Lepisosteus oculatus: one gene and its partner. The protein of the gene in region 1 interacts with the protein of each later gene in a biochemical or structural test. Links are inferred from orthologs where the notes say so. Each region holds a gene or a part of one and is shown in the gene's direction. Other genes may lie near its edges.

Evidence for each region.
Region 2: the proteins of cdh31 (region 1) and ctnnd1 form a complex in vitro, tested with the Homo sapiens proteins (5 studies listed by BioGRID and IntAct, with this or other methods). The link is inferred for Lepisosteus oculatus from reciprocal best matches to the Homo sapiens genes CDH1 and CTNND1.

Annotation. Positions count from the first base shown.
Region 1 is NC_090715.1:9,220,690-9,230,016, forward strand, and holds the start of cdh31 (B-cadherin), read left to right. Parts: upstream 1-5,204; 5' UTR 5,205-5,294; intron 5,295-7,583; 5' UTR 7,584-7,819; coding exon 7,820-7,870; intron 7,871-8,693; coding exon 8,694-8,811; intron 8,812-9,327.
Region 2 is NC_090701.1:41,498,736-41,507,726, forward strand, and holds the start of ctnnd1 (catenin delta-1), read left to right. Parts: upstream 1-5,484; 5' UTR 5,485-5,901; coding exon 5,902-5,939; intron 5,940-6,137; coding exon 6,138-6,264; exon of another isoform or gene 6,265-6,269; intron 6,270-8,991. UniProt on the Homo sapiens protein: Key regulator of cell-cell adhesion that associates with and regulates the cell adhesion properties of both C-, E- and N-cadherins, being critical for their surface stability.

The DNA of each region.
Region 1 (9,327 bases):
GCTCCAAAGTTAAGAAGGGGGGTGCGCTATGTCCACGTATCAATGGCAAGCAGTATGTGATAAAGACAAGCCCCCACCACACACTTCATCCTTTCTCAGCCCTAAATAAATGTCCTGTTTTAATGAACAGGTAAAGGTTTAGTCGTGGACTAAATAAACTAAACCTTTACCTGTTCCTTTGCAGCCTACGCGTGGTGACCCAGCACCCTGCATGTCCCCTGTCGTATCAATATACAGTATGACGCAGGCACTTACTTTTGTGCAAGGGTATTGTGAGAGCAGCAGCAGTACCAAAACTATTGGTAGTCTTAACACAACACTGACAATAGCGCGTATATCCGTTTCAGTAAACGCTCTGCGTCGTACAGTATGGTGCCGCTGTGAGGCGGTTGAACCTGATTTTTTAAATGGAGGAGGGTCGTCTCCGCACGCAGGCCGTTAGTCTGTCTTGTTGCTCGGTTAGCAAGCCAGGTTTGTGTTAACTCCGGTTTACAGAGAGGAACAAACTGCGCTCGTTAAATTTAAATGTGTTTACACTTTCCGATGAATTATTAATTTCGCAGCTGTCCAGCTGTCTCGGTTTAAACCGGCGGATGTCATATCAGCTTTGAAAGCGTACGACATTATTGTAGTCAGGACTGTACCCTATATATTTTTTTCAGTATATATACTGTATATACGTTTATTTTGTGATAATACAAAATGTGTGCGCTGGTAAGACAAAATTGATCCTTCTGTTATTTTAAAGTTAGAGGTGTTTGGGACTGGAAACGTTTTATAGGATTGACGTATGCATTTGTGATATATTCCGATGCCCTAAAAGTTATTGTATATACATAATTATCCAGTTAGGTGTAGATTTTTATTTTTCTAAATGATGGGTGCTTAATCACTGTGTTGTGACATTAACTGTGTTGTGGTGACATTACACCGCGCTAGAAGATTGAATTTCTTTTGGCGGGACAGGGTGTAGTCTGGTGTTTGAAAACCTCTTTGTCTTTATTAGGTAGCTGGAGAAATTAGCATTTCATCTGGCCTTTGTTGGGAGGTGGGGGAGCACTCCACTCCCTCATCTTGTATGGACTGCATGCCTAAGGGGTATGGAACCAAGACACTACACTTTTTTCTTTGTAGTTTCTGCATTCCTTCTTGGGGCTTGGTTTTATACTGAGCAAAGTTACTGAGACCCAAGATTTTGAATTCCGGAGAAGATTTTGCTTCTTAAGAGTGCCCTTAGCCATTTACTAATATTCTTAGTATATGAATTATAATGCACGTTGAAAATACTGCGTTTAAGAGGTTAGATTCAGAGGTACAAAAGTGGTTAAAATAAACATTTTCTTCCTAAATGAAAAAAAAAATCCTGGTTACACCCTGGATTGTGTCATTGACCCATCACACTAAGACCTTGTGATCAACCTCCTCTGTAGATGCATTTAAAGGCCACAGGGTCTATCCACAATGTGCTGCCTCTGAATCACAGCCACTATAAATACAAAACCACATTCTGATACTGCATGTTAAGGAAACTGAAGCATACCATTTAGATTTTTTTTATTCTTTGTATTTTTACATTGCAGGAGTAATACAGAATGAGCAGCTAGAGATGCCATTTTGGGAATAAATACAGTATTGATTTACTGTACAATCATCCAATGACAGATCATGCTCTAGATTATGAAAAATAACCTTAATTACTTTTTCCCCGCTTCTGATAATTAACAGTGTTCAACTATCAAAAAAAGTCTTCATAAGGCAGCATGAATGGTTGTGGTTGTCTAGAACATTCTACCCAACATTGCTTATTTCAAGAAATGGCTGGATAAGATCAAGCCAGATTAATTAGCTACTAAAAGTGAAACAAGCTAGGAGGGCAAAATTACTTCCTCTGCTTTGGTTTGCATTTTTTTATTCCAGAGTATGTAATGGATAATCATACCCACTGTTTAACCCGATGGGAGTTTCACTTCACAAGACCTCAACATCAGCAGAGGTTTAATATTCCATAAACTTTGAGATGTTAGTACATTCTTTAAATTTAATAATACACCTTTTAAGACTAACATCTGGCACTCCTATGAAAAACTGAAACTAACACTAATGATTATATCATTGTTGTGAAACCCAATATTATTTCAACCACTGACTGCGACAGGTGATAACAGGTTTTACAGCATGTGCTTAAACATATATATTTTTTCTTTTTTAGGGACTGAAGTTCAAAACCACACCTAGTATGAAAGGGAACTTGTCAGCCATTTTGGCTGTGTTTATTTATTCATGTTTATGTTTCAAATGCTTCACAATTTGTTTTTAAAAAAAACAGGTTATACTGACAGTTAGGTGAACATCTGCTACATGAAATCCAAAATACTGTGCATGCTCCCCGATAAACATTTGTTAGAAAGGTTTTATTAAACTAAAGGTTACATAAGGTAAGATATGTATACTCCTAACTTTAATTTTATAATTTTGTGTTTATAAAAACATCATCTCTGTTGAATCATTGCAAACATCTTTCTAAAACAAGCCTGATACGACCTTGTGATTCATATTTTTGTCTTCACAAAGTCACCTGTCTTTTCTAACAGTGGCTGCCTTTTAACATTCTCAGTATGCTTCCCTGACGGTAAACTGTACTGCATTTAAAAAGTCAAAACTAATCTGATTCTCATGGGATGAGCTTTTACCATTAAAATTAATGTGGATTGATTTGTGGAAGAAAATAGGGGGTGGTAATAAAGGGTCAATAGATCTAAAAATCATTAATAATTAACAAAAATAAAAATATTTTTGATATATTAAGATATGTTTTTGAGATGTATTGCTCAAAACTGCGAGTTTGCTCTTGTTTGAAGCAAAATGGGATTCCTTGATAAACAGCACAGTTGAAAAATGACAAGAATATCTTTTTTCTAAATATCTAGGATCCAAACCTCCCCAGTTTTCCTTTGATGAAAGACGTTTGACTTTACTATCAAATATTAATCTGAACTGAGTGGTGAAGAAATTAAAAAAATATATTGTTTTGAATTGACAGCACTATAGCACAGTGGTTAGAATTATTGTCCTGTAGCACTGGGTTCAGTTCTTGATCAGGGGTTATATCTGCGTGACTTTTGTACTGTATGTTCTCCCTATCTGTGCCTGGATTTCATCTGATATATTGTGCTCTGGTTTCTTCCCACAGTCCAAAGACATACTGGTAGGTTAAATGGCTTCTGAGAAAACTGCCCCTGTTGAGAGTGTGTGGTGCCTGTTTGTGTCTGCCTGAGATGGACTGGTGTCCTGCCCAGCATGTACCCTGCCTTGTGCCTGTTGCTTGCTGGGTTAGGCTCCAGCTGCCCTGAACTGGAACAAATTATTAGAAGATCAATGGATGGATTACTTTGAATTTCCATGGGTAAACCCAAACCACCATAGTGATTTTTTTTTTCTCGGTTTGGCGTGAGTTAAGTGTAATCTGAAATGCAATATATCACATAATATTGTATGTTTGTGGTGAATTACTGTACAGTGGTTATTATCCTGTATTTCAAGCTCTGGTCAAAACAATGTATTTTAGAGTTACTTATACTGCAAAAAGAAAGTGATGAGAGTACTGTTAGGTATCACAAATAATGGAAACCAGCCATAATGAAAAGGTTTCAATCACTATGAAGAAATGTTCATACATAGGTATTTCTGCTGCATTATAGGGGTTTTAATAATGGATCTCCATGGAGTCTCTGGGAACGTTGAGTAAATACTAAATATACGTCTTTTTCTTTCCAGCTTTTCCTGCAAGTATTTGAAGACCTTATTGTGGCAGACAATGTTTTCTGTTTAATGTTCTTTTTTGCTTTATTACATTTTTATAATGTTTGGGCCTTATTCAAACATGTATGATTAAATATAATACACATTTAAAATAACAACTGAAACCCAATTAATCATAAAAAATGTTACTTAGCTTTTTAAAAATAATGATGTTACAACTTCATTAAGTTTAAAGCTTTCATTTGTGCATGAAGTGCACCTTGATTTTCACAATCTCTTACAAAACATGCATACAGAAGGAAGACCTAAAATACAATGTCATGTGGCAGGGTATGTCTGGCAGTTTATGTTGGAAAGAAAGGCGTTTTTTGTATTTGAGAAACAAGAAACAAAAGGTCAACTCACTTGGTCTAATTTGAATTTCATGTTACATTAAAAATGAAATAAAAACTTGATGCGTTGTATTTTATGACAATTAGGAGAACTTCATGAGGAGAATAACATATAGGCAGAAAAATGTTTTTAAATCTAATCTATTTAGGTTTTTTTTTTATTAAAACTGAATATCAAACGTCTATACCCAGAGGCTGTATGCCTTTCATTTGTCTGAGCTTTATGGCTTTATAGATATTAATTGAAAACAAAATTTGGCTTGTGGTACTGTACATGGAAGAATTACATTCTAATTATAATTGTTATTGCTTTACTGTGGCATATGTTTTTCATTTTTTCACTATGATAGTATACAGTGCTGCTACGTTGAAGCATGTTCAAAGCTTGAAGATGTATACAGTATATCTGTTAAATGCATATTAAAGTTGTGCTAAAACTGATGCCTAGTTTAAGTACTGCAACAATGCCTGCATCTCCGCTTGTCTGTGCTGACATGACTCTTATTTTGTCTTTTCCTCACCTTAATATTGACCTTTTATTTTGTTTTGTATAAAAGAACCACATAAAACAAGATGTTTAAGGTATTCCTTAAACATTCCTTTTGAAAATCTTGATGAAATATGTGCTTCACTTACAAAAGGGTAAATTGTTTTATTTCACTTTTAAAACACTAACAAAGTGAAATACACGAAACACCTGAAATAACCATATATTTTTAGATCCTGCAAAAAACCTGTCCTTTTTACAATGGAACACTAAAAGGGTAACTCATATTCCGTCATATACTTTACATCCGTAAAGTAAATATAGAATACGCTGCATTTGTATTGTGTTAATTATTCATTGTAATACTTTAGAGAATGCTCAATACCTGTATCATATTACTCTAAATGTTAATTAGCACCAAGTCAGTGAAAAACAGTTTTCTAGTTATGGACAACAATCTAGGTTTTTCCAATTCTGAATGGGGCAGGCTCTAGGATCTCGAGGGTCTGCCACCAGGAAGAGAAGCTGAATAGTGCTATTCAGTGTACTGTGTGCAGAATGAAGTCAGTATACATATGCTCTCTTCATGTGTACAGTCTATGCAAGTAAGCCAAGAGCGCCTTCAGAAAACTTTGTTTCACCAGTTTTGAGAAAAGGTAAATAATTTCTTATTTTTTATTAATGAACTTATTTCTTTGCAATTTTGACAGGCTTCATATCATTCACAACAATAGACATTTTAAGGGTGTGAAACAACATCTTACTCTTGCTACTAAAGTAAAAAAGATGGGTAGGAATAATATGTAAGGCTCATGTTGCCTGGCCTTAGGACAGCATTTTGAATCTGTATTTCTTTAGAACCTGAGAGGAAGTAAACATGGATGGGTGTGTTTACTTCCATCCTAGGTGTCCAAGGGTAGCTTCAGAGGATTGCTTCATACTAACTGTATGTGATGATGAAATGGCTTCTGAAATGGCAGGAAAGCAAGAAACATTTTGTATTTTTTTTGTAATGTCTCTTGGTTTGACAATTGCAAAATGTTGCTTGATGTATTTCCTTTATGTATTTATTGCAGAAATGATCCTGTCCTCTAACAACTGCTCTTTATATATGACCTAGCACATGAAGTATCATGACCAAGTGATTAAAAACATCTGTTCAGCACTGCATTAGGTTCTATATTTAGGTTGTATGTTGTTGGTATTAAGTAGTATAATTTGTATAGGTTCCTTTATAATGCAGTAATTCTAATAGATGTATTGATTGAATAACTACGTTAGTTGTCCATGTTTCTGATGAGCCACCAATAAATCAATTTTTTAAATGTTCAGTTATATTAACAAAAAATGTTGTATTTGTGAACAACTCTATAAAAGAATGCCAAAGGGACTACTTCAGAGAATGTTTTATTGCCATCTGGCTGGTAGTACAATATTAACATTGGTAGGTCCAGCCTGTTAATGAATAACTTCAACAGACATTTACATTTCGTTCTCTAACAGAAAGTGGTGAAGATTTGAAACTGACCAAGCAAACTATGATTTTCTTAATGTAAGGGAAGAATGTCAATATGAGGAGTGTTATCCTGATATAAATTTTGTCTTCATATCTTAAAATACACACAAACAGGTAGTGTCCCTTTCAGTGACTTCAGCGTTCTTATTTCAGTCATTGAGCAATGCAGATTTAGGTTTATTCATTAAAGTATATTTTATTAAACCTGGAACTTTCTGTTATGTTAGTTTACCGAGGATCAGCTTGTTGATAGCAATATTTAGGGGTTCCAAAATGGTATAAAATCTAAGAAATTAGTTCTGTTTTCCAATGAGTGAAACTGGAAGAGAAAATCTGGCACTTTAGAGGCCATTTAATCATTGTACACTATTACAAATGAGATTAGAAAGAGATCAGTTTGTTCATACAAGCATTTGAGAAAATGTACAACTGGAAGTGCTTTATGCATTATTATAAGTGCTTCCTTAATTGAATAAAGAAGTAAATGAAAGACATCCATGAGGAGAGTTTTTTTTCTTCCTTGATGTTGTCAGTGGGTTTGTTTTCTCCTTCGATAGTTTCATGAATGTGTTACCTAAGTATATAGACTGTATTTCACAGCCTCAGAGGATTCTCAGTTTGTGTGATGAATTTCAAAACTGCTGTTTTACCTAGAGAATCCTTCATTGGATGGATGGAAGTACTTAAACCAATGAAGGGATGATAGAGTCTTTGGCTTAAATTTGGCTTTTGAAGTATGTAATTAAATATTTATAGAATTAAATTAATCTTTTTAAATGGTCTTAGCTACTTTATGTAGTAAAGTGGGAGGGTTTCAATGTCACAGAGTAAAAGATTATGAGAACCTTTTGATCTCTGCCTTGTAATACATACTTTTTGACTACAGCTGTCTTTAAAGTACTTTGTTAAAATAAGAACTTACATGTGGTTACTTCGTTTAACCAGTTTTTAGGTGACAATTCATTTATTTCCATTAAGAATTAGTTAATTTGTACCGTCACAAATAGGACCATATAAAGAGGGAATCAGGGAAATCATTGTAGTATTTTTCGTTATCTAGACGATGTGAAAAGATATCCTGAAATCTACATAAAAATAAAACTTGAGTTTGATTTATAGTGTTTTTTGTCAATTTGCACAATGCTCTTTTACACGCAAATACTGTATATGCCTCTATATTCTGGCATTTCGAAAAGCGGTGTTTCAATATATATTGTCTTTTCATTTCTGGCAATGGGTCTTTTGAATTAATACTGGGAAATAAAATTAAGATTAAAATCAGGAAATGCGTTTAATCCGTTGTTTCCCAGAAATAAAAATGGTGACATAAATGTATGGGTGTATCCTCGTTTGTAAGAGGGGGAATTCACTGTTTGAGAACTTTATTAGCATTAGGACCCGGAGATTTACACCCTCTACCTGTTGGCAGGTGGTGATTAAAGGAGCTATGCCCATAATTGGAGCCCGGAGACGTTAAGGAAGGGATGGGCGAGGTCACCTGTACACGTCACTGCATGTTCGAAACTACCTAGGACCGAGAGTTTCGCAGTTGCAGCCTCTGTTTTGAAGGAAGCACACCTTTCCACAAGGTTGAAAGACTCTTAAGGATTTATAATCAACAGATTTGGGCTGCAAATAAGGGATTCTATACAACCTTTCAAACTGATGGGGAGTGTCAGGAGTTTACAGCTGGGAGTAATCCTTCTCTTGGTCCAGGTAAGTCTTCGTGTTTGATTGAAAACGACCAGATCCACAAAGAAATCTCGTTTGACCCAGTATAACAGTTCTTACAGCACGTAGGTTTTAAAGCATCCGATATTGTAGTTTGTATTTATGCGTTTTAGACCCATTGAAAATCCTTTCAATGTGTTCATATAACGTAGATCAGTCGACATTAAAAAATTATGAAGCCTGTAATAACTTCCTGCTGATTGCTCTGTTTTAACGCTACCTTTTAAAGCAATCCTAGAAGAAAATCTATTAATAAAAACGTTTCACCAAAAAGCCTTCAGAAAAAATATTTTGAAAGTTCTTAAAATACGGCATTACCTTTTCAGAATATTACACTGAAACTTGTACGTTCCCATTTCCTGTTTCAAATGATTTAAAGAACTGGTGAACCGGACTCCATGTTATATACCTGTGGATCCTCTCAGACAATCTATTTATTTTTAGTGTTTTTGTAGTATTTTTGATAAGTGCCAATGTGAATTTGTTTCTTAAATACGTGTAACGGATCCCACAGTCGCCCGAAAACAGAGGCTCCTTGAGCTTGACCAAAGCGTCTAAACCCTTTCCAAAAATGGTCTAGTTTTCTTCCTTTTAATAAAACTATACTTTATTTATATAGTAGTGTCGTTTACACTAACATGAGATATTTATGAGATATATATAATATCATATCATTATATTAGTCTCCCTGTAATTTTCCCTCTATTTTCCTACTACTTCTTGCATACAAGTCAAAACTGTATTTCGCAAGTTCGCATCCAGGTATTACAAATGTCCGCTTGAGTGTCTTCGGTTTTTGTTGTTATAGGTTTTGGCTTCAGGATCTTGTGACGAGTCTGTGCCATGCCAGCCTGGCTTCAGTTCCGACAGCTTTGTCTTCAAAGTAAATCGGGAACATTTGCCGAGGGGCCGGATATTGGGGAGAGGTAAGCAATTATATACGTGTATGATTTGGTACACATAACTATCTGCTATATATTTTATATGAAGCTTTGTTTTTCAAGCATACAATTTTCTCGTTCGTTTACGCGACTTCTCAATATCATTGTAAAACAATTTCGATGTTGTTTTCTATTGACTCGTGTTACCCGTTGTTATCCGTTTTAAATCTTTAGAACCTTCTTTAGACTTCCACGTTTTAGTGCGGGTGCTTTATAGAGACATGCTTACGTAGTGTTTTGAAAGAATTAAATTAAAAATAAGTCCCCTTTGAATAGTAGTGACAGACAAGTAATTGTGAGAAGGTTCTCCTGATCCATGAGAGCCTTTTAGACATTTCTCAGCCAAGCAGACTAGGTTTACATTTGTCCTAAACAGAACGGTGTGTTTTTTTCCAACAGAAATGTAGCTTTATATATATAGGGATGTACACTCCAACGTGGTTCCATCCTGATTATTTCAAATCAAATTCAGTGTTGTACTGCATTCACAGTAAGCAACCC
Region 2 (8,991 bases), on another chromosome or scaffold:
GTGCATGGTCACGTGATCACCGGCAAAACAAGATGCTATATCTCGGGAACGAAAGCAGCACAAACGCTACTTTCAACGACACAAACGTAGCACTGACGAATGAGGTGGGTTTAGTCGTGTGTGCTGTTTGTAGGGGGGCCAACTTACCTTGGCTTTTACCTTGCCTTTAAATATTCAGCGGACTTCAGCGTAACATACCAGAAGAAGGTGCACGCACGTATGGGTTTCAGAGGCTGGAGTAAATGCATCGCCCCGAGGGTAATATCGAGTGAGGCGCCATGAGAATAAAAACTGCGAAGGTATTAAAATATTAAGTTCTGAAGATCTTGTTTGATCCTTCATGATGTTTTTAAACTTGTATGAAACCCACGAAATTAGTGTTCTATTTTCGTTGCCAAAAGACACCTTATTTGGAAATTCGTGACTTCCCACAAGACTTTACACTGAATTGTTATAGTCCATTTACAGTGCTAACCAATTAATCGTACCTTTAAGTGCAAGAATGGTCTGCTAATAAAAGCGTCAAATACATACTTTGGATGTATTTTAGCTCTGTAAACGTCGTTTACTTAAAAATACTGCAGGTCATTTAGAGGCGATATCGAATAGTTATCTGTAAAATGCACACTCGCATCTCTCCTTCAATATTTTATCTTAATGTTGTTCATGCATTTCAAACCTTGTAATTTGTTTACAGGAGAAATTTTAGAAGGTCTTCGTGCTTAACTCATACAGGTGGAGCATGTATCTGTACATGTTCTGGGAAGCTGGGAAGCAGCTGGGAAGTTACTTTCAACGGCACAAACCGGCACAAACGCAGCACTAACGATTGAGATCGGTCCGGTTCCCCTACGACATTGTAGGAGGGCTGAGTGACGTCACCCCCCCCAAAGAAGGCGCTATATCTCGGGAAAGAAAGAAGCTGGGAAGTTACTTTCAACGGCACAAACCGGCATAAACGTAGTACTAACGAATGGGACCGGTTTGGTTTCCCTACGACATTGTAGAGGGGCTGAGTGACGTCACGACCCCGAAGAAACAGGGCGCTATATCTCGGAAACGAAAGCAGCACAGACGCTGCTTTCTACTAGACGCTACTAACCGGCACAAACGAATGAGGTGGGTTTCACCGTTTGTGCTGTTTGGAGGGGGGGTCAACTTCACGGAGTTACCTCAGCGTGATTGCTGTTAAACGCCGAGTTGCCGTGCTATCTGTATAGGGTGTGTCACTATGAGTAGTGGTAGTGGGAGGAGGAAGTGGAGAATAAACTTCTCTGTCACACACACGTGTTCATTAATATCGGACTGTTGAGTATTTCAGCATTTTTTCGTATTCAGCTGCTGCCTTATGCCCTTGTCTGTAATTGTCCGGCTGCTGGGTGTGCCGAAGCCCTGGAGCGGAGCGGGCTGGACCGTGACCGGGTTCCCTGCTGCAGTGTGTTTTAGATTACCTCTGACATCACACAGGAGGAGCCTGTGCGGACAGGTGTCAATGAGCTCCGTGACTCATGTTGACTCGTTTTCCTGCAACATCGTGAGAGAATGATCTGTCATTTCTTCCGATACTTAAAATACAGTTGTTACAGACGTAAATAAACGGCCATCCGGTATGAGAAAAGTATCGGGAGTTGTTTTTAAATCACCTCTGCTCCGACAAATTGGTAGATGTCAGATGGCTACTAGTTAATTCCCTGGGGTGGAGCAGTGGCTCTGTGGCTGAGGATCTGTGCCTGTGGAAGGTTGCTGGCTCAAATCCCACAGCTGGCAGAGGACTCCTACTCTGTTGGGCCCCTGAGCAAGGCCCTTAACCCCAGCTACTCCAGGGGTGCTGTATAAATGGCTGACCCTGCGCTCTGACCCCCAGCTTCTCTCCCTGTCTGTGTGTCTCATGGAGAGCAAGCTGGGGTATGTGAAAAGCCAAATTCCTAATGCAATAAATTGTATATGGCCACTAAAGTGATCTTATTATTTTTCCAGCCGTGTATCAAACAAATCAACATTCCTCAGGGCTATGGCCCTGATTTCTTTTTAGTACTCATCAGGGATCCATTCCAGGACCTGTGGGAAAGTTCTACACTGACAGGCTGAAGGAACTCATACCCTGAGATCCTCCAGTCAGGACAGGAGGCACTGCTTTACACAAAGGGTGGTGGGAGTGTGGAGCGAGCTGGATGAGCTTCTCAGATCATTTAACTACTAACCCAACGCGCTGAAGGGCCTGGCCTTGCTAGTTAACAGTTCTTATGTTCTCACGGTCTGAGCCTGACCCCCCCCCCGCCCCTGCGGACACAGGGGGCCGGCGATGACCTCCGTATCGGTGCGGCGCTGCGGTCGGCGGCCAGTCCCTCGCGCTCCGAGCGGGTCGCCGTGATGTGCCGTGCGCGTCCAGGCCAGCGCGTGACGAGCGGTCACGGCGGTCTGCGGCTGGGCCTCGGGATTGTGGAATGTTAATAATTTCCGTTTCTAAACAATTCCACTTCCCCTTTCCTTTGTGTGCCTGTTCCATGAAGGATGACATCACCCTGGCCGACTTCTCCCCCGAGGGGGCTGAGCTCCGCACACAGAAACAATCCGGCCTCACACGGCGCCCGTGGCTGTAGCGCAGGACCTTCACAAGTCCACGCCAACACGCTCTGCTTACTTTTGCTCCTGTATCGCCAGGAACTTGTTGGACTTTCTGAAGAAGCTTAGGCCTCTGTGAGTAGGCCGCAGGATGAGGGACGAGAGGGAGACAGAGGGAGAGGGAGTGTCACTAAGCACTGGACCCCAGGAAAGATGGGCTCTCAGACTCATCACCTGTTGTCTCCTGGGTTTTGCTCTGAACCGCGGAGCCAATTAAACAGGTTGTGATTTGGCTTCCAAAGCCAACTACTAAAAGGTTTGCTCCATTGTTGTGGCATCTGATCTGCATTGGATATAGCACCTTTCATGACACATCATTGCTTTTTACCATGAAACGTGGTAAAAACAATCGAGACACTTGCACACAGATCAATGCAGTAAAATCATGCCTAATTAGGGGGATTAGCGGACACTGCAGAAGCTCCCAAATTCAATTAAAAAGGATTTAAATAGACGTCAGAACAGGGTAAACACCTGGCAGATGATATTCAATGTACGTGCAGATAGGGAAAAATATCAATCCAATTTCTTTGTTGTTCCAAATTGTGAGGACAATGAACTGAATCTCTTTAGTTTTGAATGGGGAAGACTATAAGGGAACTTGATTCAAGTAAATGAAAAAAATTAAAATATATTGACAAAGTCAGCCCAGCGGAGCTCGTCAGGATCTACAGGGAAACAGGAACCAGAGGACACAGGTGGAAACTACAGGGCAGACCATATAAACTGAGAAACAGAGGCACAGAGATTGTGACAGTGATGCTGTGGACTGGAGCCCCAGTGGACACCTGTCCTGAGAGAGCAGAGTGACAGTGAAGCTGTGGACTGGAGCCCCAGTGGACACCTGTCCTTAGAGAGCACTGTGACAGTGAAGCTGTGGACTGGAGCCCTAGTGGACACCTGTCCTGAGAGAGAGCAGTGTGACAGTGATGCTGTGCACTGGAGCCCCAGTGGACACCTGTCCTGAGAGAGCAGAGAGTGACAGAGATGCTGTGCACTGGAGCCCCAGTGGACACCTGTCCTGAGAGAGCAGAGAGTGACAGAGATGCTGTGCACTGGAGCCCCAGTGGACACCTGTCCTGAGAGAGCAGAGAGTGACAGAGATGCTGTGCACTGGAGCCCCAGTGGACACCTGTGGGATAATCTGGGACAACAGGTAGCACTGGGGCTCAGAGACCAGTGAACAGACACACGCTTGTCCAGACTGTAGGAAAGGAGACACAATCCCACAATCCGGCTTCTCACAGCAGAGCCTGTTGAACAAGCCTGTGCATGACCAACGCTAATCAGCACCATTCATTTATCTCTGTTACAGGTGATGATGAAAAGCCACAGACCAGAAGAGGACCCCACCTGATCACAGCTAAACTGCTCACCTGAGGGAGGGCTGCTGCTACAGCACAGTGCCTCACCTCCCTGAGACGCTGCAAGCTACACACACTCCTCCCGGGGCAGGCGTGAGCGCACACCCTGAAACTGGGGAGGTGAAAGCGCCGGCGGGTCGGGCTCCGGCGTGTTGACCGAGAACAAGGGGCCGAGGCGCTCATTTGCATATCGCCACACGCGCTCTTTGACCCCGCGCAGCCAGACTTCCGCCCGCCCGCCGTGTGGCGCTCGTGAACTCTCGCCGACTGCGCTCGACACGCCCCGGACCGCGGGCTGTAATTGTCTGCGCTTAATTAAAGGACCAGGGCGCAACTTCCTGACTGGAGCTCGCCGAGCCTGCTCGTGAGCAGGGCGAGGGAACGCAACACGTCGGATAAAAAAAAGCGCCTTAGCTATTGGTCGGCTCCACACCCCTCCCTTTTTTTTTTCGGGCTAATCTTCCTCCTCTCTTCCCGAAAGAATGATGGGAGGATCCCATTGGACTGGGAGCCGCTCCCAGCTGCCGCGCCCTGGGGGGTACCGTAGTACACGGGGTATGCGCACACCTCTAAACAATGAGCTCATGAGTCTGTTTTCTTATATTCCAAGCGTATGGAATAAAAGCAGAAACACAGATCCTGTACGTATTATTATTATTATGATAATGATGATTCTTATTCAGTCCTGGGAACTCGCAAACAATTCTGGTTCCACTTCCAACCTCTCTATTAAGATGAACATGTATGCAAGAAATACGTCATCAAAACTATCAAACAAAATGAACATCTGGGCTGCTGTTCTGTATTTCTAAATAGGGTATACGTTAATGACACTTGAGAGGAGGCCCAGGCGCTAGCGGGGGGGACAGACGAGCCTCCGGGCGCGCTCCGGTTTTAGGGTGTCCACCTACCCCGGTCGTTACGGTAACCCCTGTACACATCCCCCTCCCAGCCCTGCTGCGCGAGATTCACGGGCTCCAACTTTAACAGGGAGAGTCGACAGGGACACGGAGCAGCGGAAAGACGGGAACACGGACAGAGAAAGAGAGGTGGGGAAAAAGAGGGAGGGGATAGTCCTTTTTTTTTGTTTTCTTTCTTTCTTCCTCGCTTGCTTCCTTTTCTGGCTGGGGTGTCCACACCCATGTAGTCGCGGAGCGGAGTCGGTACAGTCAGACGCCCGAATTCGGCGGCGGGGAAAAACCGTGAGAGAGAGAGAGAGACAGACTCGGAGCAGCCCCGGCAGCGCTCAGGCCCGGGACACGCACTCACGCACGGCCCCGGGAGACACGGCCAAGCGTACACACACACACACAGGCACACTCGAGTCCTCCCCGGGATAGGATTTCGGCGTGCGGGAGAGGACGGCTCCTAGGTAGGTCTCAGCGGCGGCGGCGGCGGGTGGATGTCGGAAGTGCCTGGGAGTCGGGGCGCACGAGACTGAGCGGCTCGGGCTGGCTGGCTGGCTGGCTCGAGCCCCGTCCCGGCAGGCTCCGCTCGAGCGGCCGGGGCGAGTCGGGGCCGCGGGCGGCTCTCGCAGGCGCACGTCTCCTCTCGCACCGGGTCGGGGGGACGGGTTTATTTATTTTTTTAAAAAAAGGCAGACACAAAGGAAGAGACGCGCAGGAGGAACAGCTCCTGACGGTCCGAAGTTTCTCTGCCCCCCCCTTTTTTTCCCTAAAAGCAAATCTGCGCCGTCTCTCCGCTGTGGAGATTTTCGTCTTTTCTTTGCTAACTTGAACGCTGTTGCCCGCTGTCTAGTTATTTTTGTAACGAGCCCCAGCTTTCGTGTGGTTGCGGCGCCCGAGTCCTCTTTTCCAGAGGCCCACTTCCACACAGAAACTCGCTGCGCAACCGCGGAGCCCCAACTCCGGCGTTCTCGCGCGGCTGGGCGGCGTGTCCGGCCGTTTGAACACGTATGCCGAGAGGGAGACGGAGGATTATCGCGAACCGACGGTGAGGGTGGTGGGTGGGGGGGAGGAGGGAGAAAGCTACTGTTGGTAGTGCCCGAAGATGTCCGTCTGTCCCTGGGACACCTCGCCGCTTCAAAATAAAAGCGCTCTCCCTAGCTTGAGTGTGGGCTGTGGAAGGGACTGGGAGGTGCGGCTCCCGGGCGCCGGTCTCAGCCCTGCCGTCTCTCTGCCTCTCGCTCAGCGTGGCGGACTGGGGGACTCGTGCAGCGGGACGTCGCCGCGAGGGGAGAGACCGTGACGCCCAGCGCGAGCCAGTGACGACCGACGGTTCCGGCGCCGGACAGCAGCGACGCGCCCGGCGGGACCAGGTGAGGTAAGGGCTCGGCCCGTCCTGCCCCCGTGTGTGTGTGTGTCCAGGCTGCAGCCGGAGTACCGGGGACCTGGCGGCCCGCCGTGTGTGCGGTTACAGTTGGAGTTTCAGCGCTTCGCCGGAGTTTTCTTGTGGTTTTGACTGACGGCGTCAGGACGGTGTCGCGGGTGGCGGTGGAGCAGAAAGGTCTGCGGGGGTCCAGGGGTGTGGGGAGGCACCAGCGCCGGGGGGGTTCGGGCCCGGTCGCCAGGTGTGTCCTCGCCGGCGCCGCTCCCCCCTCGACTTGCTTGTTTTGAAATGCTGGAGCCGAAACTGCCGCCCGCCCCCCCCACACACACCGCCCAGCATGTCCCGACTCGCGAGTGTGACGCCACAGCTCGCCGCGGTCACCGGTGGCGCTGCGGGCGGCTCGCGAACCGGTTCGGTGGGTCTGTGAGGCGACGTGCTCGCGCACGCACCCCGCCGGAGCGCGAGTGGGTGAAGCGAAGCGCCGATGACCCGGCCAGGCCGCGCGGGTCCTCCGGGCTCGCGGCAGCCCGAGGGATCCCCAGCCCTCGCCACGGGCTCGCGCACGGTGCGCGCGATAGCTGGGAGTTCTCGACCTCTTACGTTCGCATTCTTCGGTGCGCGCGGTTCTTTGAGGGGGGGCAGCTGTGGATCTGGAGCGCTGGAGCTGTGCTGGGGAGGGCGGGAGCTAGCCTGGCCCGGTGCCGTTTGGGCCGGTTCGGGGCGGAGCTGCAGCAGGCAGCGGCCATTACAGCTCACCTGTACCTGCGCCGGGCCCGGCGGGGGCGCGCTCGCTGTCGAGATAAGAGTCCCTCGGCCTCTGCGCTCCCTGCGCAGCCTCGTTATTGAGGCCAGATGTTTGTAGTTCGCTCGTCATCTCGCCTAGGTTTCCGGGTTCAGAGTCCAATAACGCTATTTTGAAATCGTCTGCAGGAGAAAACTGAATCTTTGTGTCCCGCAGTAGAGTTGAGTTTTCATGTGAAACGTGCTGACTATTCATTAATACAGTACAGTCTGGATATTAACACTGCACTGAGAGAGAGGGGTTAATACAGTCCAGACACACTGACTGGACACTCCAGGACATTAACACTGCACTGAGAGAGAGGGGTTAATACAGTCCAGACACACTGACTGGACACTACAGGACATTAACACTGCACTGAGAGAGAGGGGTTAATACAGTCCAGACACACTGACTGGACACTACAGGACATTAACACTGCACTGAGAGAGAGGGGTTAATACAGTCCAGACACACTGACTGGACACTACAGGACATTAACACTGCACTGAGAGAGAGGGGTTAATACAGTCCAGACACACTGACTGGACACTACAGGACATTAACACTGCACTGAGAGAGAGGGGTTAATACAGTCCAGACACACTGAAGAGGAGCGATTATGGTGGTTGAAGTGTTTTTGAGGTCCAGGGGATAAGGGATGCCGGTGGAACCAGTCTGATGTGGTCTGGGGTTGTGGTGGAGGGCCCGGGTTCCCCGTTGAGGAGTTGTGTGTGTGTTGTGGGGGGGGGGGGGGGAGTCAGACTGATCACATTCTGGCTGGTGGGAGATGCTCCCTCTGTAGCTTCTCACTGCCGGAGTTCTGTGGCGTTGTGGTCTCATTGGCCCGGCCTGTATTCCTGCAGGTCAGGTCCCAGCGTGGATGACAGTCATTCCAGCAGCATCGTTGTGTGAAACGTGAGTGTCGCCAGGTTTCAGGAGGAGTGTTGGCAGTAGGAGTAGAGCCGTGTTCCAATGGGACAGGGAAGCCCCGAGTCCAGCAACGCTGGAGCATGAGACATCGGCACCGGGTGGCCTGTTCCCCACTCCCACAACCCTTTGTGTAGGACGTGCCTCCTGGTTTTGGTTTTAAATGCCTGTTGCTCGGGCCTTTGTAAATTGTGAAAGTTTGTGTTGTTTCCGCTTCTAGTCTGCACCGTTCAAGACCGTCTCGATCTGCTTCCTCCGGCCTGGCAGTGCAGGACTTTCCCTGCAGCCCGGGCGTGTCTCGGGTGTTCCTCTCCGGACGCGTTCCAGAGCAGCACTGCCTTCTCTGTAGTGTGGTGACAGAGGGGTTATGTCCCTGTTTGAGACTAAAAGAGGCTCGAGGCTCGGAGGTTATAATCTCAGGTGGGGCTCAGTCGGTCAGGGTAGCCCTGGCCTGACCCAGGACTCGGCGGGAGAGATGACCGCAGGCGGATCTGGCCTTCAGGGCCCCCGCTGGGCCTCGGCAAGGCTCTGAAAACACAGTGGGGCAGTGAGCACGCGCAGACGGGCTTCTTCCCGACTCGGCGTGGCCCAGGAGCGGTGGACGGGTCCGGCTCGTGAGCGAGCCTCTCCCAGCCCCTCGGCGGGGCCCGTGGGTCGGTCTTGCCGCGGCTCTGTGAGCGGCGTGGGGACTGCCGGGCAGCTCCCCGCGGGGCGCGCTAGTCAGCTGGCAGGTCCGTGGTGAGCCGGGGTGTTGCCCGTGCGTCGGTGCTGTGGCTGTCCCGTGAGGGAGGGCTTTCTCGTGCTCTTCAAGCGTGCGTCCTCTGTCCCGCGGGGCGCGATACTTTCCTTGGGGTGCTCCTTGGCTATTCGGGGTGCTGTTGTGCAGCTCCCCCCGGTGCACCTGCGTAGGCGCTGGTATACCCCATCCCTCGCGGTCATGGTTACCGTCTGTCCTCAGGCCGCGCCTGGTCCCCTGTTGCCCCGGAAACGCAGCGGCGGTAACCA